Linked DNA regions of Elephas maximus indicus. The protein of the gene in region 1 interacts with the protein of each later gene in a pairwise test. Links are inferred from orthologs where the notes say so. Each region holds a gene or a part of one and is shown in the gene's direction. Other genes may lie near its edges. The genes, in order: TNIK, MYT1L, myomegalin and GSE1.

Evidence for each region.
Region 2: the proteins of TNIK (region 1) and MYT1L interact in a two-hybrid assay, tested with the Homo sapiens proteins (2 studies listed by IntAct). The link is inferred for Elephas maximus indicus from reciprocal best matches to the Homo sapiens genes TNIK and MYT1L.
Region 3: the proteins of TNIK (region 1) and myomegalin interact in a two-hybrid assay, tested with the Homo sapiens proteins (2 studies listed by BioGRID and IntAct). The link is inferred for Elephas maximus indicus from reciprocal best matches to the Homo sapiens genes TNIK and PDE4DIP.
Region 4: the proteins of TNIK (region 1) and GSE1 interact in a two-hybrid assay, tested with the Homo sapiens proteins (2 studies listed by BioGRID and IntAct). The link is inferred for Elephas maximus indicus from reciprocal best matches to the Homo sapiens genes TNIK and GSE1.

What each region holds. Positions count from the first base shown.
Region 1 is NC_064841.1:29,026,701-29,033,682, forward strand, and holds the start of TNIK (TRAF2 and NCK-interacting protein kinase), read left to right. Parts: upstream 1-3,968; 5' UTR 3,969-3,994; coding exon 3,995-4,051; intron 4,052-6,982. UniProt on the Homo sapiens protein: Serine/threonine kinase that acts as an essential activator of the Wnt signaling pathway. Recruited to promoters of Wnt target genes and required to activate their expression. May act by phosphorylating TCF4/TCF7L2.
Region 2 is NC_064830.1:10,882,789-10,889,923, reverse strand, and holds the start of MYT1L (myelin transcription factor 1-like protein), read left to right. Parts: upstream 1-4,121; 5' UTR 4,122-4,311; intron 4,312-7,135. UniProt on the Homo sapiens protein: Transcription factor that plays a key role in neuronal differentiation by specifically repressing expression of non-neuronal genes during neuron differentiation.
Region 3 is NC_064821.1:159,487,948-159,495,907, forward strand, and holds the start of myomegalin, read left to right. Parts: upstream 1-4,949; 5' UTR 4,950-5,098; coding exon 5,099-5,334; intron 5,335-7,960. UniProt on the Homo sapiens protein: Functions as an anchor sequestering components of the cAMP-dependent pathway to Golgi and/or centrosomes.
Region 4 is NC_064839.1:51,006,259-51,013,104, forward strand, and holds the start of GSE1 (genetic suppressor element 1), read left to right. Parts: upstream 1-3,842; 5' UTR 3,843-4,163; coding exon 4,164-5,576; intron 5,577-6,846.

The sequences.
Region 1 (6,982 bases):
GAACCTTGATGAATTTTAAAGATTTTTTTCTTCTTTAAAGAATATCTAGGGATTTGTGGTGATAGAAGATACAGGGGGTTTGCTTTTGGAAACTCCACAGTAGTGTTTCTGATTTCCAAAATGTGGTACATAGATTCAATATTGAATAACATTTACCCTAATAAGGAGAACATAATCCCCTTTGAGCTCCTCTTTCTTGTTTATAATTTTAAAAATATAAAAATATTTCAAATAAACAGAACAATACAGAGAACACTATAATGAATACCCATTACTAATAATCCAGATTTAACAATTCCAAACATTTTGCCATGTTTGCTTGGTCTTTCTTTTTTTATAAATAAACTAAATGTCATTGTTGAAGTCTTCTCTTTCTTCCATTCCTTTCTCCCTTCTCACTATCTTTTAGTTGACCTGTATCCTTCCTGTCTGTGTCCATGCTTTTTATAGTTTACTACATATTTATATAGACATAAACATATTGGTCTTCAGACTTTAAAACCATACATAATGGTATCAACTATCTCAGTCTTTAAGATTAAACTAAGGAGGAAAATCTCACTTTGGTTCAAGTCTTGAATGCCTTTTCTGGCATTTGCTAATCTCTCTCTTAACAAAGTAAAGGCAGACCCTCAGGCTAAAAGCCTGGGGCAGGCAATGACTAAAAAAAAAACCAGCTAGCTAGAATTTAATAATAATACTGCTTTATTTTCCATTATTTTTATTTTAATGGTATTCTTTTTTGTTTTTTGCAAGCTTTCCATTTACAGTAGCAATTTACGCTTCCTTTTAGATTAAATGTAAGAAAAAAGAAATGTATCAATTAAAAAAAAATGTTAATAACAACAGTAAGGCAGCACACAGACCTGGCAAAAAATTATGAAAGTAGCACTGGAATGGTTGAAATTTGTTACACACTTGACCTACAGGGTAAAGTTCGAGCTCTTCCAGGGAGCATACAAAGCAGTACCTGATCTGACCGCTGCTGGCCTCTCCAGCCTTAAGTCACCATTCTTCCTTCACCTCCAGCAGTACAAACAGCTCGGAATTTCCCCCTCCTCTTCATCATCGATGGCACTAGTTTTTTTTTTTTTTTTTTCTTCATCAGTGACGCAATGGTTAAGTGCTTGGCTGCTAACTGAAAGGTGGGCAGTTCAAAACCACTAGTCGCTCTGCAGGAAGAAGATGTGGCAGTCTGCTTCCGTAAAGATTACAGCCTTGTGAACCCTATGGGGCAGTTCAGGTCTGTCCTATAGGGTCGCTATGAATTGGAATCAACTCGACAGCAACTGGTTTCAATGTCCTGTAAGTCAAGAAACCATAACTTACGGAGTTTATCTTTAGGAACCCTGGTGGCACAGTGGTTAAGCGCTCAGCTGTGAACCAAAAAGTCGAAAGGTGGAACCCACAAGCTGCTTGGCAGAAGAAAGATGTGGCAGTTTGCTTCCTTAACGATTTCAGCCTTGGAAATCTTATGCAGCAGTTCTACTCTGTCCTATATGGAGAGTTCTACCCTGTCCAAATGGACTTGACTGCAATGGGTGTGTGTGTGTTTTTATCTTCTCTTACCAGCTGGAGGTGTCTTTGCTATCGTAATCCTCCCTTTCATGGTATTTCCTGTAGCCCAGCACCACTGCTTCCACTTGGCTCTCGCGCCCATCCCCTCAGGCTTCCAGGAAGCAATCCTCTTCTGTAACTACTCATCACTAAATTTCCAAATCTAACTACAAATCCAAGGGTAGAATTTAGTGCCAGGGACAGGGCACCCTACAGCCTGAACAGCTTACTAAAGCCAAAAGATCTGTTTGTGATGTCTCAAATAAAATCTGGACTATAAAATCAAGACTCTCCATGAAAACAAATGTTTAACCCATTTTTTTTTGTTGTTTGGAGCTTTAAAAATTGTTATTTATAGATCTGACCTTTAATTATTTTCTTTCAACACTAATACATTAACCTGTCATCTAGAAGAAGGTTAAAAAAAAAATAGAAGGGAAAAATAAGAACAATGATGGGAAATGATAGTTCTTTAGCTCATTTCAACATTACTTGGTGGCTTACTGCCAGCTACTACAAAAAGCTGGATGATTTCATTATAAAATGAGAGGTAAAAATCAAGTGTTTGAATATAATGCGTTTAAACATTTGATATACGTGTAACGTTTACAGGCAAAAACTCCCAAGCAGTTGTGGCCATAGAGATGTTGGAGAAATTTTCAAGTTCCATGGTGCATGATTTATAACTCATATGAATACAGTAATACCAACAAAAACCGTACGGTGCACACCGAATGCGGTTTAAAAGCCCTCTGTCTGCAGTTGTGATGTACTAACTGCACTGGCTTCCATCCATTCATTGGAAAGCCTTATTCTGAAGCTGATATTCACACTACATATAAAAAACAAAAACAAGAAAACAAAACAAACCCTCAGAGTCCTTGGCCAGAAGTAAATTATTCTCCTAGCAGAGGTCCTGAGAATACTTTCAAAGCTACTGCTGTATTTGAAAAAAAGTTCAGTTTTAGCGTTTTCTTCGGATACGTCTAATTTTGTATGGCCAAGGCCGGAGAGGAAGGATTGCAATGGGGACCTGGGGAAGTGACTTCACACTCTTGATTACAGAATGTCATGTTTACTACTGTAAATATTGAGCCTCTAAAGGAGAAAGCGGGTGAAGTGAAATCGCTCCCACGCTTCCATCTTGTATGGCACATTTTATCCGCTAGCCAACTTTCTCCATCAATCCCGGTAGGTCAGCCGCAGAAACGCTGCCTGAAACGGCAATGTGAAATCCTGAGGCAGCGTGTGCTGCCTAAACCAGAGTTGGCTTTGGACAGTTACCTGAAGCATTCAAGATGTTGCACCCAGAGAAAAAGCTCGTTTCAATTCGGTCGTTTCCGTGGGGAATTGCGGCAGGGGCCGGTCCTGGGTGTGGCGATGCCAAAAGGGAGCTCCGATCTTCCAGTTTTCCCGCTTCTGGCAAACCTTTGCAACCCGAAGCGGCCAGTGACCCGCACCCGGGAACGGCCATCTGCGGTCCCAGTGGCCGCAGGCAGACCCGACCCCACGGCCCCTGTGAACTGCCGAAGCCAGGCGCTGGGCAAGCTAGGCGTGCGCGCTTCTCCCCCACTCGCTCGGCGGCTGGGGGCGGATCCCCTTCCAAGCACACAAGTCCTTATATGCACCGGTTGCACCAGTCCGCGTTACTCCAGCCCCACAAATAACTAATGGGGGAGGGAGGACGTCGCTCTTTTTTTCTCTGGCTTTTTCAATGTCAGATCATTTGAGTCCCTCCAAGAAACCCCACGATGCGATTGAACGGGCCATTTGCTGCAGCGCACGCATTGGACACACACAAATAAAGCCTCCTTGTTTGTACGATAGGCATGTCCGCGTCCCGGAACGGCACTCGGGTCCAGCCGGTTTGGCCCGCAATAGCCGGGGCGGAAAGGGTGCGCGCCCCTCCCCCATGCACGCTGGTGCAGAGGGACCCGGTCAGGAAGCGCGGCCTCTCCTCCGCCGGAGACCACGCCTCCTCCACCTCTTTTTTTTTCTCTCTCCCCCTTTACTCCTCCCAGGAAGCGGTGATAGACAGTTCTGTGTGGCTCTCCACCCCCACTCCCCCAGCTGAGTGGAGGAGTTGATGTGTCTCATTATAACAGCCAATGCAGCCGCCATCCACGCACAAGCAAAGAAGCATGTCCCATTTAAATACACCCACGCAGCCCCAGCGCCCTTAGCCGATCAGGGCGCGCAGCCCACACGCACCGCGGCTGGGGATTGGAGATCCGCGCAGGTCGAGCTCCCGGACCCGGCGGACGGCCGCGCCGAGGGTCGGGATTCGGCGCTGTGGGGCCGGGGTGGGCGGAGGAGGCTGGGCCCGGGCCTCTGGCGCTGCACCCGCATGAAGACGCGAGTGAGATAGACCAAGGTGGAATCTCCAGGGCAGAAGCTTCGGAGGGGTTTTGGTCCATTTCCCGGCGAACAAGTAGACATGGCGAGCGACTCTCCGGCTCGCAGCCTGGATGAAATCGATCTCTCGGCTCTGAGGGTGAGCAGAACACCTTTTCTGATTTCTTCCCGGTGGGTTAGGTCAGGGTGAACGGGCTCGGCGCGTGGACCGGGGCTCGCGCTGTGGGCAGAGGCGAGAGAATGCGACGGGAGGGAACGTGGATTCTCGTTTCTCTTCGGGGTTTGCTCAGGTGCTCTTGCTGAGCCCCCAGGGCAGGGTCTGTGCGGTACGTGTCCCCCTCTGGCTGTGACCGAGGCTCCCCCGAGAGCGCGTGGAGCTTACGCCAGTTTATCGTAGACGGGTGTAAGAGCCTTAAAATGAAAGACTCGTCGGTGTGTGTGTGGACACCCCGGGCGGTCGCCTCGTGCCAAGGCGCGACACCCGGCTGCCCCTTTCTGCAAAAAAAAAAAAAAGCAGCGTGAATAAAGGCACTGGCCTCACGTTTTCCAGTTACCTGCAAGATGACATTGTGAGCCTGACTGTACCCACGAAGCCGAACCTGCCGCTCCACGGGGGCAGTTACTGCTGTGCTTGCCTTGTGGATGGCAACGGCCCTCAGCCTCCCCTTTCCTGCCTCCCGCGCCCCGGCCCTCTCTGGGCGCACCCTTAAACGCCCGTCTGCCACTCACCTTTATTTGTGGTTTTAACTCAGCCCAGCCTGTGGTTTCTGACTTTGGGGCTGTGACATTTCAGCTTTATGGCTAAACTTAAGCAGGTGAAAGGGATGTGTTTTCCGCTTTTTTCCAGTCACACCGGAACTCCCGGAGTGTGTGTGTGTTTTCCTTCTGTCTGTGGCCAGTTCTTTGTAGAGCACCTCCCTCCCCCCAGCCCCACTGGTTTGAATTTACCTTCACGTGAGTTGCCTCCGACGCAGTTTCATTGTATTGACTAAGACATCACTGGTATAGAATCCATTTTACTGTTGTTTTGTGAGCAGAATATCAGGAATCCCAGTGCAGCCTCGACGCCTCTCTACCCCCAACCCCCAATCCTGACACACTCAAGGGAAGGGGGCAGAGCTTTCTTGCCATTTTAATTAGATGCTGCCTGCAGGGAAGAGGGTGAGGGATGGGGGTGGCGGCAGCAGCGGGGTCTGGGGGAAAAGATTGGGCACCAATTTAAGGACGACTTCTTCTCTTGAACCCTTCCCCCTTGAAAAATAACAGTGACTAGATATATTTGATACATGGTGGATGGGTGAGGCTAAATTGATGGTGGCTCTCAACACCGAGACACGCAAGATTGAAGTTCACACGCCCTACTGAGGAACACATTGTTAGATCGAAGCTAAATCTTGGGACCATTTACCTGAGTCTTTTTAGTACTTCTGACATTGCCTCTTTTCTCCAGGGTATTTTAAGAGCGACTACTGTTATCAAAGCTGTACTTTTTCCTTAGCCTCCCTCCTTTTTCCCTCCTTTTTGTTCCAACTCGGCTCCCCCCTCCCCCCCTCCACTTTAGTTCAAGAGATGAGGTTTCAGGAAGGCAGTCCGGGGGTTGTGAAGGAACAGGGGGGCCGTTTGAAACTGCCTGTACTGATAGTTGGGTAGCAAAAGCTCATTCGTGCGTTATTACAGTAAGTGATTTCCCTGGGGCTGAAATGCCATGTTCAGAACCCGCTGCCTCCGGGCAGCTGGGGGTGGGGGTAGTTAGTAATAGGGTGGGTGCTTTGACCAAGTCCTTGTCCTCCTGTTTGATGGACTGTGTGTGTTCTTTTGTCCTACTTGCTGTACTAGGAGTAGCTGCCGGTGGGTTAAGCAGGTAGATGTATGGGCCAGACCTCAAGGTGGGGGAAATTGTAAAAGGAGAGGGGTTCAGACAATGGGCAAGGCTTGTGGTGATTTCCCTAAGCCAGAATCGAGACATCTACATCACTCCTCTAATGAAATACTGTGTTGTGATTTTTAAGTTAGGCTTTGACCTGTCACCAGTGGGCTTTTTCTGGGGAAGGTTTTCTGAGATAGAGAGCAGAGAGCCTGCAGGCTTGTGAGAACCACGAGGGCTCGCTGGGCTGGCCTGGAGACACTTCACATTAGGATACCAGGGCTTGTGAGATCTGTATTTCGAAAAGATACCGTTCTACGGCTCACTGCAATTGCTCTTTGTGGCCTGGGCTGCCGGCTTAGTGGTCTGCCTGTTTTTCTGCCTGCCCCGAGGTGTGGGCAGGGAGGGCAACAGCTGGCCCTAGAGACTGGAGCACTGCTGGCTGGAGGACTTGCATGTAGGTGTGGAAACAGTTGCATTCTGGAGGGCTGGGGTCAGGGACTGTTTTGTGGTAGGTGGGGTGTGCCAGCCGAGAGTGGGTTCAAAGGCCACATAGGTAATCTCCACAAATCAGAGAGCAGATCATATCTGCCTTCCCAAATTAGGAGAGGTGGGCTCATCTAGTTGAGAAGTCTCATTCGTTCCCAAACCCTCAGAAGAGCTTTGGTGCTGAGAACCTCCTGAGGAATGCCTGACCCCTGAAATGCAGCCAAGGTCAGTGGCTTCTAGGAGAATTAGCTGCAGTCTTTGGGTCCCATGCTGTTTCAGTGACTCTTCAATGTACACAGTCAAGGCCCTTTTTATAAGCCCTGGGCTCAGTGCATTAAAACCAGATCCTGTCTGGAGAGGCCTTTAGTCCCTTCTCATTTTGGGGGCTTATTGTTCTCAGCCAGTGATCCTAGACTGGACCCAGTCTAAATTTTCCCCAAATAGTAACAATGCATAATTTACACCAGAGCAACCGATGACAGCACTGATCATTTAAATTATGCAAGATTTGGATGGTTTTTAAAAGTGAGATGAAAGCAGAATCTTCTTTGGTTAGAAAATAGAAAATTCAAATCCGGTTTATTTAGTTCCGATTTCTAGAGCTCACAAAGGTAAGCCTTAAGTCTGGGAGGGTGGGGGGATGGTTTCATAGATTTAGAGCTAGAAGGGAATTGTGGAGAGTTCAGCCACTGTTTTCATTTAGCACATAGGAAACTG
Region 2 (7,135 bases), on another chromosome or scaffold:
TTTGCATGCATATGAGGTGGTTGAAAGTATCATGGCTTGGATTGGGCTCACCTTAGTCCTCAAAGTGACATCTTTGCTTTTTAACACTTTAAAGAGGTCTTTTGCAGCAGATTTGCCCAACGCAATACTTCATTTGATTTCTTAACTGCTACTTCCGTGGGTGTTGATTGTGGATCCAAGTAAAGTGAAATCCTTGACAACTTCAACCTTTTCTCCGTTTATCATGATATTGTTTATTGGTCCAGTTGTGAGGATTTTTGTTTTCTTTATGTTGAGGTATAATCCATACTGAAGGCTGTAGTCTTTAATTTTCATCAAAACTAGGCTGCTGGGGTTCAAGTCCAATTGTACTATTTGCAAACTATATGATCTTATCCTGGTTATTTAGCTTCCCCATGCCTCAGTTTTGTTGTCTTAAAATTGGTATTATAATTCACCTACCTAGTTTAAAGCTTAGATGAAACAATGTATGTCCTCTACTTTGCACATAGCTGCTATTTATAAGGTATCTTTGTAAATGTCATAAATACATCTTTCCCTTTGTTCAGAAATGAATCATAACAATTCAGATAATAAGATAATGAGACCAAATGGTATATCCAATGATATAGCTGATGTCTGCTTGGGCGAAGTCTACAAAATGGGGCAAGTAAATATCCTAGACTGCGCTGTATGCCTTACCAGAAAATTCTTGAAGTCAAGCCTTAAATTCTGATACAGCTCAAACTTAAATCTCCACTGTGTTAAGTTCCAAAGTTGAAATAAATATGGATTGACGTAGTGGCTGCAACAATGCGCTCATACATAGCAACAATTGTCAGGATGGCTTAGGACCAGGAAGTGTTTCCTTTTGTTGTGCATAGGGTAGCTATGAGTCAGAGCTGACTTGGTAGCACCCAACAACAACAATAACATTAAAATTTTAGTCACATTGTTGCTATTCTTTCCATGAAATGGTTAGCGCTTCCTCTCCTTTTAAGAAGTGGTGATATCCACACATAAATAACTACCATTTTACTTAAAATATGAAATAACTGTTAAGTAACGAAACTTTTATGTACATTTAAAGACCAAGTTTCCCAACTTCCACTGCCTAAAGCTTAATTATAGAGATCAGAATGGGGCTTAAAATTCATCTAGCCTATTTTATCATTTTACAAATGAAAAGTCACTCTGTGATTTTGAAATTCTGTCATTTTTTGTACCTGCAGTAATTAAGTTATTTAAGATTTTAGAAAGACCAAAAAAGGAAGATTGAGACTGACTTATTCTAGTTAATGGTTCTTAAAAAATAAGTCACTTACTTTTGTACATCTGCAAAGCTCTTAAATCCACTTTTTTTCCTGTGTTTTTCCCATTATTCTTTGTGTGTGTGTGTGTGTGCTTTAAGTAAAAGTTCACAATTCAAGTCAGCTTCTCATCTAAAAACTTACAAACACATTGTTATCTGACCCTAGTTACTCTCCCTACAATGTGACAGCACACTCCTCCTCTCCACCCTGTATTTTCCATGTCTATTTTTTTTTTATTCAACCAGCTCCTGTCCCCCTCTGCCTTCTCATCTCACCTCCAGACAGGAACTGCTCACTTAGTCTCATGTGTCTACTTGAGCTAAGAAGCACAACACTCCTCACCAGTATCATTTTATGTCTTATAGTCCAGTCTAATCTTTGTCTGAAGAGTTGGCTTCAGGAATGGTTTTAGTTGTGGGCTAGCAGAGAGTCCAGGAGTCATGACTTCTGGGGTCACTCCAGTCTCAGTCAGACAATTAGATCTGGTCTTTTTACTAGAATTTGAGGTCTTCACTCCATTTTTCTCCTGCTCCACCAAGGGTTCTCTGTTGTGTTCCCTGTTATGGCTATCATTGGTGGTAGCCAGGGACCATCTGGTTCTTCTGGTCTCAGGCTGATGGAGTCTCTGGTTTATGAGGCCATTTCTGTCTCTTGGGTTCATATTTTCCTTGTGTCTTTGGTGTTCTTCATTCTCCTTTGCTCCAGGTGGGTTGAGACCGATTGATTCATCTTAGATGGCCACTTGCTAGCTTTTAAGACCCCAGGTGCCACTTACCAAAGTGAAACCCACTATTTTTTAATAGAGACAGGATGTTAGTGGTATAAAAAATAGAGCTTAATAAAAGGTATAAAAGATATTGGATCTGACATCTAAAATAACTTATAGTCCAGTCAATTTTTCTCAATGTTCTTTAATCCAATACTCTGATAAACTTAAAAATCTTGTAGTCTTTTTTATATTTATCTGAAATATTTTAAACAATGTCACTAAAAATGAATCAAAGCAGTGGCATTCTAGATTTAAAAATGTAATACACACACACATATATGTATATACATACATACAAATCTGGAGATCAATATGTCTCTCTCATGTGATAACGTGAGCATTAAGTCTGTATATTTCCGTAGTTTTTTTTTCCCCCCAACCTAAGTGATGTGGACAATAGAACTTAGCACAGATTGCTTTTAACACCAAGTCTTTTCCTCTCAATTGTTCATTCTTTCCTGCCTCTCAAGATTATATGCACCGCTCCCCATCATTTTGCAGGTAATAATTCAAATGAGAGAGAAAATTAAGGCCTATGTGCATACTGACATAGTTCTCAGAAGCAAACACGTATAACGCTTACATTTGACTTAAGTTTGACTTAAGTGTCCATGGGCAGCCCTCTCCACAGATGACCTCTTTGCCCTGCCCAAGTACAGCAAACCATTTTGGGCCGCTTAAAACTGCGAGAACATTTATTCCTAACTCATAAGAGGCAAACATACTCTAACCCAACTAAAAACTAGATTTACTGCCATTTTCAGTTATCAAAGCAAGATCCCAAGGCCTGAAATTCCCATAAATATTTTCTCCTGGGCCCCTTTTTTTATTTATTTCATTTATTAGAAATCATCAGAAACTCGATACTAAGAGCCTTAAAGTGTTCACATACTTCATTTGACTCTGAATGATCTGAAATGTCCTCCACATTTTAGTAAGGGTGACATTGTTGTCCTGGAAGGGTCATTGTGTGCATCTGCAAATGCTTCTATGTGTCAATCACAGCATGTTCACAAAGATTAGATGTTTTCTTTAAAAGGATGAAGAAGACAGGACTGAAGTATTGGAGGGTCTGAAAAATTGGAGAGTAGCCTGATAAAATAAAACTGTAGCATCAGAAAGACCTGGTCTTGAGTCACAGCTAACTATTTTCTAGCTGTGTGTCTCAGAGTCACTTAACATTTGAGACACTATACAGTGAGGATCGTAATCCTTGCTTGTGAGGATTAAAGGAGATAATGAACCTACAGCATCTACTATCCAGCATATGGTCTTGCTTCTCTTAGTTAGAGATTCAGTAAGGGAGGCTATTGTTACTGGTGCTGTTATGTCGTTATGAAGACGATCACTGTTTTCACTATCATTGGGAACATCACACAAAATAGAAGTGTGACTTCTGGGCAGGATTGTGACAAACCCGAAAGGAGAGAGGGGAGAGTATTCCAAGTAGAGGTAAAGAATACATGTGAAGTTGAAAGTGTGGAGGAATTGTATGTTTCATTTTTCCTCCCACAGAACTGCTAAAATTGGAATGAATATGGTTGGTGGTTAGAAAAACTTGAATTAATGTTCCAAAGAAATTATTTTCCTTTTCTCGAGTCACTCCAGTCTTTCCATGTAAATTTAGGAAATAGGAAATGCCGGAAACTCACATCCTTCCTCGTTTCAACCTTCTTCATTTTTATTTTTTTGATCTTCTATTATTTCCATTGTAGAATCAGTCACCATATGGCTTCACACAAGTAACTAGATTTTGAGGTCCTCATTTGAACCAGCATGTACTGCCATATCTGAATCTAAGAGACATTCCCCTACATCTAGAACCTTGTGTTCACGATTGCATTTACCACCTGATGTTCTTGGCATTTGAGCTAGTCTCCAGCTCATCTCCCTTTGTGGATGGTCTTTGCAGAGAGGCCAGAGACTTAGAGACTGACTCAGGTTTCACACACTTGACCTTGCTCTTTGTTATTAAAGGGCCAACTCTTATGTAAAAGCACTTCAACTTTGAGGAGGTACATTATGCATGGGTTACTCCAGTACTGTCCCTCAGCTGAATTAAAGTGCATGTGGCGGTTTGTGCGGATAGCCTCCATTAACTTAATGAGAATCTCTCAAAACCCAGAAAAAACAGAGAAGCTATTAATTCTCCATTATGTCAGAAGGGAAGGTTAGGAGTTTCACTAACAATTCCTTATGTCTTCTCTTATGTGCAGGAAAGAACGCACAGAAGCTGTTGCCGAGGACAAGGTACGTGCTGTTATTTCCTGGATGTCTGTCCAATCAACTTTGACATTTGAAGAACTATAGAGGGTGGTATGTTAATAAAAATAGAATTTTGTGATTTTACGAGCAATGTAAAGAATGTTACCTGAAAACAAGCAGAACGTGGAATGCAGTAATGACTGATGTCAAGTTAGGTCTATTGAGAAAGAAGCCATTCGGTTTCAAAGTTGATAGAGGAGTTGAGTTTTTTCTACCAGCTATTATTGTTTTAAATATTTAGATGTTTCAATTTTATTTTATTGTTCAGTTGATTACATATACATATTTAAATTGATACATAATCCATTACAATTTTTCTTGTAAGAGTATTGTATATAATCTAAATATTTGAGAAATCAACCAGAGAACATAATCCAAAAAGCACACATATTTATCATTGTATATTTTTTTAAATTGTACTCATTTTTTTATTCCTAATATTTATACGATGCCTCACAGATTTCAGAGCACTGGTGGTGCAGTGGTCAACAGCTTGGCTGCTAACCAAAAGGTCAACAGCTCGAATCCACCAGCTGCTCCTTGGAAACCCTCTGGGGCGGTTCTACTCTGTCCTGTAGGGTTGCTATGAGTTAGAATCAACTCAATGACAACCGGTTTGTTTTTTAGGTTTTCATAGATTTCAGAATACTTCCACCCATAGTCTTTCATTTGACCTGCATAAATAACCCTGAAAAAAAAAAATGGTGGAAAGTACTAAACTACCTTCTGCATATAAGCAGACTGACGAAACTCACACATTCTGGTATTCTCTTTGCCTGTCATAATGAAACATTTGACAGACTCAGACTGTAAAGGACAAAAAGTTACATTTTTAGATCTGTTATAAATTTGTAAAATTACTTCTCTGTTGATACATGCATGGAGAGGCAAATTATTAATAATAACATTTAGCATGTAGTTAAGTGCTTACTTTGTGTCAGGCAACATTTTCTCCATGTTCTATTCATCATCCCTTTCAATCTTTACCCTGCCCACTTGCCGTCAAATCAATTCTGACTCATAATGACCCCATAGGACAGAGTAGAACTGCCCCATAGTGTTTACTAGGCTGTAATTTTTACCGAAGCGCATTGCCAGGCCTTTCTCCCACGGAGCTGCTTGTTGGTTCAAACTGCTGATCTTCAGTTAGCAGACCAATGCTTAAACACTGCACCACCAAGGCTCCTTTTCAATCTTCACAGTACCCCTATGAAGGAGATATCACTCCCTCCCTTTTGACATGAAGAAATCAAGGCTGAAGGAGGTTGGATAAGTGGCCCAAGATCACTAGATTTCAAAGAATTTACCAAGGACTAGAGTTGGAATCAACTAGACAGCAACAGGTTTTTTTGTTTGTTTGCTTAGAGCCAGTTTTGACACAGCAGTTTCCTTTAGGGTGCAGAGGTGAAGAGCTCGGCCGCTAACCAAAAGGTCAGCAGTTCGAATCCACCAGGTACTCCTTGGAAACCCTATGGAGCAGTTCTACTCAGTCCCATAGGGTTGCTATGAGTCGGAATCGACTCAAAGGCAATGGGTTTTTTTGTAGTGAAACAAAACTACGAATTTTCAAGCCTGTTGAAGAGTAGCATGGCCGCAACTAGAGCAGGGGCCTGATGGTCCAGGGACCTTTGTTCCTGCCCTTCCCACACCTGCTCTGTGACCCTCACACAGATACTGACTTTTCCGAGCCTGTTTTCTAAGTGTTTGGAATCGAGAACCTCTATTCTTATTAATAAAACAAATTAATTTCCATCAGGATTGTGAGAAATGAACCAATCTTTTGGACCTGATGTTCTCCATGTACTATACAATTAATTTGTAGTTCTTCAGAACTTACACATTTTCAAGGCATTATCCCTTTACTCTCCCTTACATTTGGTGGCAATATGGTCAGTAACTTATCCTCCAAGTGTTGTATTTTCTACTTATATCTAACTACCAGAGAGAGAAATTTTTTTAACTTTTGTTTTCTTTACATAATTAGCATATACACATTGTAGAAAATATAGAATATTAAAAATATATGCATATATGTATGTGTATACATATATGCACACCTACACACATACATATTTAGCAAAAAATAAGTAACTGTACTGAAAATTCCAAAATTCAAGTGCAGACAGTTAATGTATTAGTTTAAAATTCTTCATGACTGGTTTCTTTACATAAATACTTTTAAATTAAGATGGAGCATACTGTGTATTTTGGTTTTGACCCCTTTTTTTAAATTTATGTATCATGCATTTATTTCTAGGTCAATAAGTATACTTATTTTCATGCTGTATAGCATTCCACTTTATAGATATACAAATGTGTATTTAACTAATGCTTTACTGTAGTTTTATAAGTTTTTAAAATTTTTGCTTTATGAACAGTTTTAATGACCATTCTTTCAAAATGACCTTCTTAAAAGTTTTAATGATTTAAATTTTTATACTCTTAATTTTTTCCTTAAGATGAATTTCTAGTAAAAAAAAAATGGGGTTGGGGGGATGTTCAGTTTAGGGCTTTTGAGAAGGTTAATACTTTTAAAGTGTTCTACATTCTTATGTCTTTCATCTCACTGCACGACCTCTGCTTTCTAAACAGAGTTAGTCTTCCAGTGTTGGAATGCACTACCATTCCTTAATGAACTCTTATTAATTTGACTTAAAGAAAAGCTGATTTTATACCATGAATTTAGTTTTTAAAAAGCTAAAAATTTACTTCGATACATGTTCTGGAATTTCTAAAAACTCTGTTCAAACTGCTACACATTTATTCTCTTGTTTATATATTAATTCAACATATTAAGTACCTACTATGT
Region 3 (7,960 bases), on another chromosome or scaffold:
AAATTTTACTTGCGTGTGATATTAATGATATTGTTTGATAATATCTACATTCTGTTGAATCATCTTTCTTTGGAGTGGGCACAAATATGGATCTCTTTCTGTTGGTTGGCCAGGTAAGTGTCTCCCAAATTTCTTGGCATAGATGAGAAAACACTTCCAGTATTGCATCTGTTTGTTAAAACATCTTGATAGGTATTCTGTCAGTTCCTGGAGCCTTGTTTTTCACCGGTGCCTTCAGTGCAGCTTGAGCTTCTTCCTTCAGTACCACTGGTTCTTGATCATATGCTATCTCTTGAAATGATTGGATGTCGGCCAATTCTTTTGATATAGTGACTGCATTCCTTCCCTCTTCTTTTGATGCTTTCTGCATCATTCAATGTTTTTGCCCATGGAATCCTTCAATATTGCAACTTGAGGCTTGAATTCTTTCAGCTTGAAAAATGCTGAGAGTGTTCTTTCCTTTTGGTTTTCTAACTTCAGTTCTTTGCACATTTCATTATAATACTATGCTTTGTCTTCTTCAGCTGCTTTTGAAATCTTCTGTTCAGCGCTTTTGCGTCATCATTTCTTCCATTATCTTTAGCTACTGACAACCAAGAGCAACTTTCAGAGTCTCTTCTGACATCCATTTTAGCCTTTTCTTTGTTTCCTATCTTTTTAATGACCTCTTGCTTTCTTCATGTATGATGTCCTTGATGTCATTCCACAACTCATCTGATCTTCAGTTGTTCGTGTTTAATGTGTCAAATCTATTCTTGAGATGGTCTCTAAATTCAGGTGGGATACATTTAAGGTTATATTTTGACTCTTCTAGACCTGTTTTAGTTTTCTTCGGCTTCAGCTTGAACTTGCATATGAGCAATTGATGGCCTGTTCTGCAGTCAACCCCTGGTCTTGTTCTGACTGATGATACTGAGCTTCTCAATCATCTCTTTCCACAGATATAGTTGATTTGATTCCTGTGTATTCTATCTGGTGAAGTCCACGTGTATAGCTGCCATTTATATTGTTGAGAAAAGGTATTTCCAATGAACAGGTCATTGGTCTTGTAAAATTCTATCATGAGATCTCCCATGTTGTTTCTATCATCATGGCCATATTTTTTAACTCCTTGTCCTTCTTTCCAACTTTTGCTTTCCTATCAGCAGTAATTATCAATGCATCTCAATCGCATGTTTGATCAATTTCAGACTGCAGAAGTTGGTAAAAGTCTTCAATTTCTTTATCTTTGACGTTGGTGGTTGGTGCACTAATTTGAATAATAGTCATATTAACTGGTCTTCTTTGTAGGCATTGGATACTATCCTATCACTGACAGCATTGTACTTCAGGATGGATCTTGAAATGTTCTTTTTGACAACGAATGCAATACTGTTCCTCTTTAATTTGTCATTCCTGACATAGTAGACCATATGGTTGTCTGATTCAAAATGGCTGATTCCAGTCCATTTCAGCTCTCTAATGCCTCGTATATCTATCTTCAAGTGTTTCATTACATTTTTGACAACTTACAACTTTTCTGGATTCATACATTCCACATTCTGATTAGTAATGGATGTTTGCAGCTGTTTCTTCTCATAGCACATCAGCAAATAAAGGTCCTGAAAGGTTGACTCTACTTTGAGGAGGCAGCTCTTCCCCAGTCATATTTTGAGTGCTTTCCAAACTGAGGGGCTCATCTTTTGGCACTATACAAACTGTGGGACTCATCTTCCAGTACTGTTAGACAGTGGTCCACTGATGTTCATAAAGTTTTCACTGGCCAAGTTTTTAAGAAGTAGACTGTCAAGTCCTTCTTCCTAGTGTTTCTTAGTCTGGAAGCTCTGCAGAAACCTGTCCACCATGAGTGACCCTGCTGGTGTTTTCAATACCAGTGGCATAACTTCCAACATCACAGCAACATGGAAGTGACCACTGAATGACAAACTGACAGACAACTGGTGGGTCAATGTCTTACTGGGCAGTAAAGCTATAACCTTTGATGTTATGCTTTTTTTTTTTTTATGCAGACAGAAATGACTTGCATCTTTCCTGAATAAAAATGATTTGCAATTTACTAATCTTCTACAAATATCTAAATTCAATGAGTCTGGATTCTATTCAATAGCAAATAGTAAGTCAGGTGAAACTATGGCCCCAAATAGGCAGATGAACAGGATTATTAGCACTCTAGTATGATCTTGAATGGACGCTTAATGATCCTTTTGACTTATCTTAAAACTTTAGATACTTTTTCTTGAGTATGAGGATTATCACACTCTCAGAGATTCTGATTCAGTACTTCTGTGGTGGGATGCAGGAATCTCCATTTTAAACAAACATCCTAGGTGATTCTGACACGAATAGCCTATGGATCCTTCTTTAAGAGAGATTGAAGGTGGTAGCCAGGACTTTATTTAGGATTAGTGGTTTTCTTCTAGTTCAGAGACTTTTTTAATGCCAAGAAATTGAAAGATTGATGCGTTAACTTACTGAGAAAAAGCTAACAGTCTCCATTTACTTCATTAGGGTGCTGTGCGGCCCTTTTGAAGCTTGTATCCCATATTTAGTGTAAGTCTAAGCTTGAAGGAAAAATGGCCAAAAATCCAACTGTGAAAGTACAAGTTCAGTACTTAGTTCATTTATTAATAAGTATCAGTGCTTAATCATGCCTGCCATGAAGCAAGTGTTCAATAAATGTTACTAATCACACTAAACAAAACACCCTTCATCATCAATTCATTAAGGCCACCAATAAAGCCATAACCTCACAGAATTTATTGAGCCTTTATTTTATTCCAGGCGTGCTATCAGGTAAATTTTTTTAATGTTTATTTACTTTTTAAACATTTATCAACACTTATTGTGTGCCAAGTGCTTTGTAAGATGTTGGTTATACTGAGTGAAAAAAGACCTAATCTTTGTCTTTAAGAAGTTAATAGTCTAGTGGAAAAGATAAATAAGTGAATCTACAACAATGGTGTGTTAAATGGCAGAGATGTGCTTTGGGTGCTGCTATAGAGGCATAGAGATGGAGCACCTACATAAGGTTAAGGGATCAGGAAAGGCTTTCCTAAGAAGGTAACACATAAATTGCTTTTTAAAGGGTAAGTAGGAGTTAAATAGGTCTCTGGGTGGCACAGAAGGTTTGTGCTTGACTATTAACCTGAAGACTGGTCATTTGAACCCACCCATCATCTGTGGAAGAAAGGCCAGGTGATTTGCTTCAATAAGGATTACAGCCAAGAAAACCCTATGTAGCTGTTCTACTCTGTAAAACACATGGGATCACCATGAAATTTAATTGACTAAACAGATCTGCGTATTAGCTCAGATAGTAGAGTGCTCGCTTAGCATGCAAGAGTTGGCGGGATTGATACCTGCATTGTCTAGTTAGAAGCCCTGGTGGCATAGTGGTTAAGAGCTACAGCTGCTAACCAAAAAAAAAAAGGTCAGCAGTTCGAATCCACCGGGTGCTCCTTGGAAACCCTATGGAGCAGTTTTACTCTGTCCTTTAGGGTTACTATGAGTCAGAATCCACTCAATGGCAATGATTTTTTTTTTTTTTTAACACCAATGGGTTGTTTTCTTTTTCTTTTTTTGGGTTTTAGGAGTTAACTAGATAAAGAAGGTGGAGACAGGTATTCCAAGCAGAGTAAACAGGAAATGTAAGGCAAGGAGGTATGGAAGAGCCTGATTTAGACCCAGAGAATTAGATGTAGTTTACTGTGGTTAGAATGAAGGTAGTGGAGGTACAGGATGGAAGAAAGAGATCAGTGGAAGAGGAGGCCAGAAAAGATGGCAGAAGCCATTCAAGACAATCCTTGAATACTAAACTAAGTGGTAGAACTTTATCACAAAATCTCCAAGGAGCCATTGAATGGTTTTAAGTAGGTGAGTGTTTCATGAAGAGGCCTCTGGAAGCAGTGGGAAGAAGGGTTTGGAGGTGGGCCTTAAGAGAGGCAGTTGGAATCACGATGGGAGCGAACACTTAAAGATACAGATATAGTAAAGAAATAGAAATAACAACTGGATGTGGTGGATGAGTGAAAAAGATAAAAGTCTCTGATCACTACCAGGTTTGAGGTTTGGGCAGCTGGATGGATGGGAGTGCTGGGGTTAAAAAACAGAGGACGGAGTGACAGGTTAGAGTGGAAGGATGGGTTCAGCTTGGCTGTCACTGAGTCATTCAACAGTAATGGCTATTGCCTGTGAACCTTGGGATGCGTGGTATCCAGCTGCCCTGTGGATTCTATGTAGGCCCTGTGCTACACAGAATAATGTAGTAGAGTCATTCTGTTTTGCTGTACTCTCGCTGGTCTCTGTTCCTAGAGGACATATGGAATAGGAGAAAAGGGTTTAGCAGAGGATTTATTTGACCTATGACCCCTTTCTTTTTTTCCCAGATGATAACAGTCCGTTGACTTGATGGTGGATACCAAGACATATTCTTTACTATGATTTCTTCATGAAAAATGGCATCACAAAGTCTCAGCTGAAAGGAAAACTGGGGTTGTTTAGCAGAGAGTTATTGACAATTACTAAAGGGAAAATGAAAGGAAATGGAGACTTAAAAAGAGGGAGAAAGGGAAGAAAGAAGGGGAAAGAGGCTAGCCAACAACCTGGAGAAGTGATGAATTTGAGGAGAGATTAACAGAGAGAAAAAAGCGGATAAAAGATAAGAGGATAACAGATTTGGGCAAGGAGGAAGACAAAAGCCAGGAAAATATGTAGAGAGGGGGTGAGAAAAGAAGGAACTCATCTGAGGTTGGAAATTGAGGAAGGTGGCATTGGAGCATATAGAAAAAAAAAGAGTGGGGTCTGGGAATGAAGGGATCTCCCGGTTGAGGTGGTGGGTGGAGAGAGAATGGGGAGGTAACAGAGGGTGAAGGGGCAGCGGCGGGTGTTTGCGGGAGCCGGACCAAAGCAATCTGGGCGGAGCAGGTGGCAGAAGCAGCGGTGAAAGGGCAGGATCCGGCCAGGTCTCCGCCTCAACAGTGGCAACTGGAGGGGCTGCTCATCCCCGGCCAGAGGGATGCGCCCTGGCAGCCCAGGAAAGCCATAAGAAAACGAAGCAGGAACGGAAAACAGGATTGGAGAGGCCAGGAGAGAAAAATTCATGAAGAGGGCCGACAGCGGGTCCAGCTGCCGCCGCCGATGTGACTGCAACGGTAGCTGCTGCAGCGTATCCCGCCGGGCGCAACACGCGCCTTACTGGGCCGGGGACGCCGGGCGAGCTCCCCCGTCCCGGCGGCATTTCCCTGGCCCAGAACGGCGGCGCTCCGAGCTGTCCTGGAGCTGGGCGTTGGCGGCCGAGGAGGAAGAAGCAGCCGCGGCGGCCGCACCCTGGATGAGGTGAGGGCTCCGCCAGCTTCTGGCGCTTGGAGACCAGGAGGATGCGAATCGCACCGGGCTGTTGGTACGCCATGCTGTGGGTAGGCTGAGGCTGCGGGCCGTGGACCCGGGTTCCTGGAAAGGGTTGTTGCAGAGTGACAGCTGCCTGGCGAAGGTTGGAGGGCAGGAGAGGTGATGGGGCCTGTGATGGGCACCAGAGGGGGAGAGGTGATGCGGTGTTGCCTAGAAATAAAGCGTGGGGCTGGACTGTTGGGCCTAAAGCTCAGGAAGCCTGGTCTCTATACCAAGGGCTTCCCTTGATATGTAGACAAGGCTTTGTAGCTGGAGGTGAGGTTGAAGGCTGTGCCTGTTGGGTCGAGCCAAAGGAGAGGAGAGATGAACATGATTCAGGAGGACATTCCAGGATGGAAGCCTTAAAAAGAGCCTTAGGGGCGGGAAAAGAAGATAAAGGATCAGGAAATGTCATGGGTACACAACTGAAAGAGTCCTCAGTGCCTTCTCTTGCACCGCCTTCTGTTTTGGATATTCATCTTAGATACAGACAGCTGGGTGGGGGTTGGTGATGGCTTTTTCTTCCTTGACCACCTCCTTTAGCCTGCAGGGCTGGAGCCCTGCCTGTTGGCTGGATCCCAGGTCCTGCAGGACAAGCTCCATTCTAAACCGGGTCACTTCCTCTGCTCTTAGAAGAGGGAACAGATTAGGGACAAATTTTCTTCATGTAGCAGCAGGATGAAAATCTGTCTGACATACAATTTTCTAGAGAAGAGAGTGTGCCTTTTTCTCAATAAGCATTTCCCTGGCGTAGCATTTTTAGCTTTCTCTTTCATGGGAAGTCAGTACAGTACTCATATAAACTACAAGGCAACAGTGGTTTCTGTCTCCAAGCTGCAATTAACTCGCTGGGATTTTAGAAAAGTTATTTAATTTCTCTAGGCCTCAGTTTCCTATGCATAAAATTGGGATTTGGGTTAAAAGAGTATCACAGAACTAAATAGTCTCTGGTTCTGTATTCTGTTTTCAGGACACTTTTATTTGTGAATGATGAAACTCTATTCACAGACACAAAGAAGTTGAAGGAATCCCTTGTCCTTAGCCCCTGTGCCAAAGGCAGGCTGCGGTGCAGGGAGCGGGTCACTGGGGAAAAGGAGGGAGGGGAGTGAAGGTGGGGATGGGGGGAAGTTGGGGATAAGGGGAAGGATGGAGTTCACAGGTGGCTTATGCAGACCTGGATGTGGCCTGTGTGTTGCAGTTTAGAAATTCACTCCATGGGGTTTTCAATGGCTGTAATCTTAAAAAAATAGATGACCAGGCCTTTCTTCAGTGGTACGGCTGGATGGATTCAAACCACCAACCTTTCAGTTATTAGTTGAGCACAAACTGTTTGCACCGCCCAGGGACCGTACACACTGACAATATGAACCAGTTGGTTAATGGCATCTGGACGTGGTGCTGAAAGGCCGAGGAGCAGGGAGGGCTTCACATAGGACATGAATCTTGGCTGGCCTGACAAGATATGAAGCCGGGGTTGGGTGGGAAGCAAATCCTAGCAGAGGAGCACTAGCAGGTGTATGGCCCTGGGAAAATGCCTTATTGGATGAGGCCTGTTCTGTGATAGACCTTTTCCAATGCTGACCCTCTTTCAAGTATACAATTATTAAAAATGAGGAATTAAGTGAGCTGTCAGATGGTGACAATCTGTCTCAATGTACTTATTTGAAGCATTGTAGATTCCAGAACACTTAATTGTGCTCATGAGGAACCTATACATAGACCAAGAGACAGTCATTTGAACAGAACAAGAGGATACTGTGAGGTTTAAAACCAGGAAAGGTGTGCCTCAGGGCTGTATCCTTTCACCATATCTATTCAGCAGACAGATGCTGAGCAAATAATCTGAGAAGCTGGACTGTATGAAGAAGAACTTGGCATCAGGATTGGAGGAAGACTTATTAACAACCTGTGATATACAGATGATACAACCTTGCTTGCTGAAAGGGCAGAGGACTTGAAGCACTTACTGATGAAGATCAAAGACCACAGCCTTCAGTGTGGATTATACCACAATGTAAAGAAACAATCCTTACAACTGGATCAATAAGCAACATCATAATAAGCAGAGAAGAGATTGAAGTTGTCAAGAATTTCATTTTACTTGGATCCACAGTTAATGCCCATGGAAGCAGCAGTCAAGAAATCAAACAATGTATTGCACTGGGCAAATCTGCTGCAAAAGATCCCTTTAAAGTGTTAAAAATCAAAGATAGCACTTTGAGGACTAAGGTACACCTGACCCAAGCCATAGTATTTTCAGTCACCTCATATGCATGTGGAAGCTGGACAATGAATAAGGAAGATGAAAAAAGAAACGATGTGTTTGAATTATGGTGTTGGCAAAGAATACTGAATATACCTTGGACTGCCAGAGAACACACAAATCTGTCTTGGAAGAAGTACAGCCAGAGTGCTCCTTAGAAGTGAGAATGGCAAGACTTCATCTCATGTGCTGTGGACATGTTATCAGGAGGGACCAGTCCCTGGAGAATGACATCATGCTTGGTAAAGTAGAAGGTCAGTGAAAAAGAGGAATACCCTCAATGAGATGGATTGACACAGTGGCTGCAACAAT
Region 4 (6,846 bases), on another chromosome or scaffold:
CAGGTACTTGGAGTCTACTCTGGCACGTGACGTTAATACCAACGAGCTTTGGCATGCTGTCCTCATCTTCCTCACCCATACCCAGCCTTTTTTGTGTCAAGACTCAAATCTGTGAAGCCCTTATTTCCTTAGGCGTGAAAATGGGAACATGGGAGAGGGGATATGGGACCTTCTTGGCCATGCTTGTCCTATCCAGCTGGCGCCTCAGAATTTAGGGCAAGGCTAATCTTAATAGCTCACATACCAGGGGGTTACAGAGACACAGCCTGGGTTCAAGTCCCAGCTCCACCAAGCTGGTTCCTGAGACAGGGATTTTCTGAATCACTGGGTCATTGAGAGAAGCAAAAACATCCACTTGAGCACTCCCCACCCCTGCTCTAGGCCCACTTTACACGTACATGCACACACACAGAGACATACACGTATGAATGCATGCACACACATGAATGCACACATACACATGTAAACGAACACAATGAATGCACATATACTCGTGCACACACACGTACATAATGGATACACATACATGCACACAATAACACACAAACACACACATGCACACAATGAATGCACGCATACATGCAGACATGAACACGCATGCATGCATACATACACATGCACACATGTACACAGATGCACTCGCATACACGTGGCACACATCCAGTAGTTCTCCTGAATCTCCAGCTTAGCCAAGAAAATCCCATTTCCCACTTTTTGTCCAGTTGACCCCTGTGGCCCTTCTCCCTCAGACTCTGCACAACCTCATCACAGTCGCACCCCCTGCCCCCTGGAGTGCAGACAGACAGCAGAAGAACCTCCTTTACCACTGGGTGAGACAAGAAGGGACATGCACTGTCACCAACAGCATGCCGGCTCCCCTGTGCCAGGGCATCACTCCCTCTACCTCATTTGATCTGCTCAAAAAATCATGAGAGGTCGGTGTGTGGGGCCCAGGCATTGAGCCAGGCACTGGACATACACAGTGAGCAGAACTGACTGGTCCCTGCCCTGGATGAGGGAGCACCCAGCCTCCCGGGGGAGCTGGATGGGGAACAAGCAGACAGAAAAAATAATTAAAGTCAATGGCAAATTCCTATGCCAAGGACTAGAGACAAAGGGTCACCGGGGAGGCCTCCCTTTAGGGGGAGTGGACAGGGAAGTCTCTTGGGATGACATTTCGGCCAAGACCTTAAAGATGAGCTGGAGCAGCTTGGCAAAGAGAGCCTGGGAAAGCATTTGGGCAGAGGGACAGCCCTGCCAAGCCCTGTGGGATCCAGGTGTAACTCCCCAGCCTACCTAGATCTCCTAAGCTCGGCATTGTTTTACCAGCAGCCCCTCTGCGTGTATATGTGGGGGGAGAGGGACGTTGGCCAGTCCCCCTTTAATGTGTGGGGATACAATTGAACAGACCTCACCCTTTAACATTTTCCTAATCAGCCCCCTCCTGTTGCCCTCCTGCCCTGCCCCTGACATTCCTCTGGGACAGTTTTGCTGACGCAGCGTTTTTCCACTATGAGGGCATTTCTGGCCAAGATGTTCACATTAACCTCTGGACTGTGACCCCTGGAGTATCCACGTGGGATTCCACAGAGGTGGCCCTTTTCTCTTGCTCTGTTTATTTATAATGCATGGCCTCCTTTGTGCCAAGAGGAAGCCCAGTTTTATTTACAAGTCAACGCCCCAGAGGCCGGAGGGGCCAATTGGCACCATTGTCACCAGGCCGACTTCTGGGCTCCAGCTGCCAGGTCGGACAGCTGTCAACTGCTTGGAAATCAGAGGCTCACAGAGTTTTGAAGCTGGAAGGGGCGTCATTTCACAGATGGGAGATGTGAGGACCAGAGAGGCCTGGGTTTGCCCAAGGCTGAGCCAGGACCGCAGGGAGAACGGAGGAGTCCTGGCCATGTTCCCTGATGGGGATGGCCTATCAGCACATGGATGACGGACCAGATATGTCAGGTGCCCATCAAGGCTGCACAGCCAGATCGTTGGGAGCAGGGGCCTGGAGCTGGACTGCCTGAGTTTGAATCCCAGCCCCACCACTTCCCACATTAACCCTCTATGCCTCATTTTTCCCATCTCAAAAATGGGGCTGACCACAGCACCCAACTCAGAGTTATTGGGAGAAGTAACTGAGCTAATATGTGTAGCGCTTAGAATGGGGCCTAGCACACAGTAGGGTCTCTCGCTACGTGTTCCTTAAATAAACTCACTGTATTTATACACATATTCAGTAAATGCACTGGAAACAGTTACCCTCTGCTGCAGTTCCTGTTTGTCCAGAAGGGGGGAAGACTCTCAGACAGGTTGAGTCCCTTGCCCCTAGACACATAGGACCTTTTCTGCCTCTGGTGGTGATCCAGTGGCCTCTGGTCAACACGGGGGGCGGGGGGACGGGGGGCCTGGCTGGGCCCCCAGACTGATGCTTCACTAACCGTGTTCCAGGACAGCTCCTCTTCTCTGTCTCCAAAATTAGAAAGCCGGGCCTGAAAAGTTCCCTCACCCCTAGGCTGCTCAGCTTCTAGTAACTGGCCCTCACTCAGCCCCCGCCCCCCTTTTGAGCGGGTAGGGGGGCCTCCGTCCGGGAGCTGCCCTTCATCTGCGGATGCACCTCGGTCTCCAGGGGCGTCCTTACCTGGTTCCTCTGGCGTTCTGCGTCCTCCTTGACCTTTACTTAAAGACCAGCCTTGGCCGCTGATGGGCTTCGGCGGGTCCCTGAGGAGGCCCTTCAGACGGCTTTAGCCGGGCGGGCTGGAGAGAGCCCCTAATTGGGGCAATGAATCATTGTGCGCGGCTCCGGGGCTGGACACAAAATAGATAGTGGAGCCGGCGAGCTATTGTGCGCAGTTTGGGACGCGGGAGGAGGGAAGGAGGGCGGAGGGAGGGGGAGGAGGAGGAGGAGGGAGCGCGCGAGGGAGGGATTCCCCGCCTGCCCTCCTCCTCCCTGCCCGCCCACCCGCCCGCCCGCCCGTCTCCCTCCTCCCCAATTAAATGACCCAACGCTTTGGCAGGCGCCGGAGCTCGCACATGCGGCTGCCGCTCCAGCCGCCCGGAGCCCGCCACCGCCGCCGCTGCGTTCCGGGCGCGCTCGCCGCGGCGCCGCCTCGGCCTGCGCCGCCGCCGGGTGCTCGGCAGGCCCGGGGGGCGCCCCCGCGAGCGGCCGCGCGCCCCGCCCGGCGTCTGCCGGCCGCCGCCAAACTTTGCGGCGCGCGCTCATGGTCCAAGTTGGGCGGCAAGGCGGCGGGGCCCGCGGCTGCCGGTGAGCGATGAGCGGGCGGGCGGCGCCGGTCTCCCGCAAACAGCGGCTTATGGCAGCGCTGGCCGAGCGGCCGGCGGGCGGCGGCGGCGCGCCGCTCTCCTGCTTCATCTGCGGCGGCGGCATCGGTCGCGGAAAGGAGCTGAAGCTGCAGGTGAAGCAGCCGGCGGCGGCGGCGGGTGCGGGGGCCCCGGCGCAGCCCTTCTTCCCGTTCCTGCAGCAGCAGGAGCCGGCGCCCGGCGCGCGCGAGCTCTCGCCGGCCGACGGTTGCGTGCTGGTGTGCGCGGTGTGCCGCTGCTTCCTGGGAGAGCAGTGGGCCGCCTTCGAGCGCGCCCGCACGCCAGTGGACAAGCGCATGTACTGGCTCAAGCGGCCGCACCAGTGCGAGGCGGGCGCGGGCGGGCGCCGCGGGGGCGCGGGGGCCCCGCGCGAGTGGAACGTCGCCTACGCGCTGGGCGCCGGCGCGGGCGACGACGACGACGAGGACGGCGGCCCCGGGCCCCGCGCGCCCGCCGACGAGGCGCGCGACTCCGAGCTGTCCGAGCTGTCGGACACCGATCCCCTCTCCGAGCCCGACCCGGGCGCGCACGACGCCGTCAGTCCGGCTCAGGACGGGGCGCCGCTGCCGCGGAGCACCCCGGGGCCAGGCCCTCGCGGGCCCCGCGGCCTGGAGTGGAGGCCGGCGCCGGGACTTCCTCTGGGACAGAGCGCAGAGCCCCCCGCTCAGGGGGACGTGGACGAGGAGGGGGCCCCTGCGAAGCTGCACGTGAGCGGGGAGCCCAGGACCGGCAGCGGGCGCCGGCGGAGGGGGACTGGGAGGCACTGGGCCCCTGAGGCCCGGGCCAGCGTCCTGAGGGGCATTCAGGGCACTTGGCAAGACCCACCAGTCCAAGCGCCTGCTGCAGATGGAATGAAAGGGCCCCCCTCTGGCAGGCCCACCAAGACTCCAGAGAGCAGGCTGCTGGGGGAGACCCACGGGGGCTACTGCACCTCTGAAGACAGTGACATCAACATCACCAGCGAGGAAGAGGACGACAAGGAGCAGCCCTTCCCTGCCCCCTGCGGCCCCAAAGAGAAGGACAACAGTGACCGGGTCCCCCGGGGGGCCCCGGAGAGCCGTGTGGTACCACCGGAGGGACCTTGCTGCTACATCTGTGGGTCAGCGCTGTCGGCGGCGTCGCAGCACCAGATCCACGTGCAAAAGCAGGAGAAGTTGGCACAGGCCCCGTTCTTCCCCTTCCTGTGGCTGCACAGCCCGCCCTCAGGCGCACGTCCCATCAGTCCTGGAGGCAGCACACTGGTGTGTGCCTGCTGCTTCACCTCTCTCATGCAGCAGTGGCAGAGCTTCGAGCTGGCGAGTGTCCCTGTCCTGCAGCGGCTGTACGTGGTGCCTCTGAACAGCCGTGCGCCGGGCATGGCCTCCAAGGGCAGAAGGCTGCCCAGGGAAGAGGGTGTGCCTGCCGCAGCCCTTCGGGAGGCCTGTTACCTCTGTGGCGAGGACTGCACCCAGGATGCCCGAGCTGTGCCTTCCAGGATCCTCAATGGCAGCACCAGGAGCACCATGCACTTCCCCTTCCTCAGCCTGCTGCCCTGCCCCCCCAATGCACGGGCCCCCAACAAGCTCTGTGAGGTCCATAGCTGCCCCAAGTGCTTCAGCGTTCTGGAGGATGTCTGGGCCTTGTACCGGGCCTGCCAGAATGAGGAGCTCATCACCTCCGTGCAGGCCTTCCTGGGCAGATACCACCAGGCCTTCTCTGCGTCTGACTCAGGAATCTCTGAGCCGCCCACCGCAGCCCAGGGCAGCCCAGCATCTGTCTGCTACATCTGCGGGGCTGAGCTGGGCCCTGGGAAGGAGTTTCAGCTCAATGTGAACCCCTCCAGCTGCCTGGGTGAGAAGGAGCCCTTCTTCCCCTTCCTCACTGTGTACCCGCCTGCCCCAAGAGCCAGGCCTGTGGACTCCACCGGCCTGGTGGCGACCTGTGTGCTCTGCTACCACGACCTGCTGGGTCAGTGGCTTCAGCATGAGGCCCGTGGTGCCCTCCATGCCATCAGTGCCTGGTCTCGGCAGTACCAGGTAGAGACCTTTGTGTGCTTCTTCTGCCAGCAGGAGAAGAAGCGCTGTCTAGGAATGAAGGCTGTGCGAGTGGCCCGACTACCCCTGTTCCTCTATACCTTGCGGGCGAGCCACAGCCTGCTGGTGGACGATGGGCGGCAGCTGATCATTGGTGCCTGTGTGGAGTGCGGGACTCTAGTGTGTGCGGGCCAAGGGCCCAACCGTCAGGGGCCTACCGGCTGGAGTTCCCCAGTGCCAGTGGTGACAAAGGTAAGCGGTGGTTCTCATCTCATCTTAAAGCCTTCCTTAGAAACCTGTGCAGGGAAGGAAGCGGTGTTTTCTGTTTCTCTGCAGTTTGTGCTGGTCCTGCGTGGTGTGTAATGGTGAGAGGTCACCAGGCTGCCTGCCCTTGGTTGGCTCCTTGGCCTGGCAGAGCTTGGAGACACAACGTAGGAGGTCAGAGAAGTTGAGGGACCAGGAGTGGTCTGTGGAAGAACGGGCACTGCTGAAAACAGCAGGCATGGGAAGGAGCTTGGGCGTTTTTGCAGCAGCGTGTTTGTGGCGGAATCTATCAAACAGAGGAAGTTCAGGGCATGTCTGTCATCTGCCTGATAACATTGGTAATTAGTCCAGCCATGCAGGTCACAGAGAGGTCTCGGCACTTACCATGTTTGGAGCATACCAGGGGTGGAAGTTCCTCTCCGCTCTAACTCTAGCTGCGCCTGAGCTTTCCACCACCTCCCCCCCCGCCCCGCCACCCAGTCCACGCTTTCCCTTTGAGACTCTCTGGTTGCTTAACAGCAGATGGAAATGTGTTTCCAGACATGGGGGTGTGGGACGCGGGAGACAGTGGCCCAAACAGACTTCTCCCTGGTGGGAAGAGTCTTTCTTCTCTGCCAGTCAGCTGTGCGGGGTGGGAGGGAGGTGGTAGCAGAGGCCTGGGTGCTCCCTGTTTATATGGCGCTTGCCTTCACTCGGCTGCTTGCCCTGGAGGAGCTCCATTAATTTTGGATTTGGGGGTCTGGGGAAGAGGATGGCTGTGAGTCGAAATCATGCGTGGCCTAGGGGGCCGTGAAGCCTAGTTTCCGCCCAAGAGGGTAGGCTGGCTTGTTTTACTCAAATACCTGCTGGTGCTGCTGTCATGAAACGCTGACCCAGCAGCCGGCGGAGGGGCATGTGGATGGGGCAGGCCATCCCATCCTATTCAGGAAGGTGGTTCGATCCTTTGATCCCTTCGAAAGGTTTCTGATCCCACCTTCCACGTGTGTGCACACATAAGCGGAGGACCCTGGTACATGTGTACTCACAGCGGCCCCCTGTGTAAGGTGGTGTCCCCACCACATATCTGTCCTGCTTCCTTGGTCTGCAGGGTCCCACACCTTCATGGATCGCCCAGGTCTCCTTCTCTAGCTGACACCTGGGTTGTGCTTTAAGGCTGTCTTTGGGGGCTCCGATGGGACAGCCTTTGATTTTAAACCGAGCCTATCGTCTCCCATCCTGGAGCCCGAACCTCTCATTGGTGGCGTGTGGCAAGCCAGCC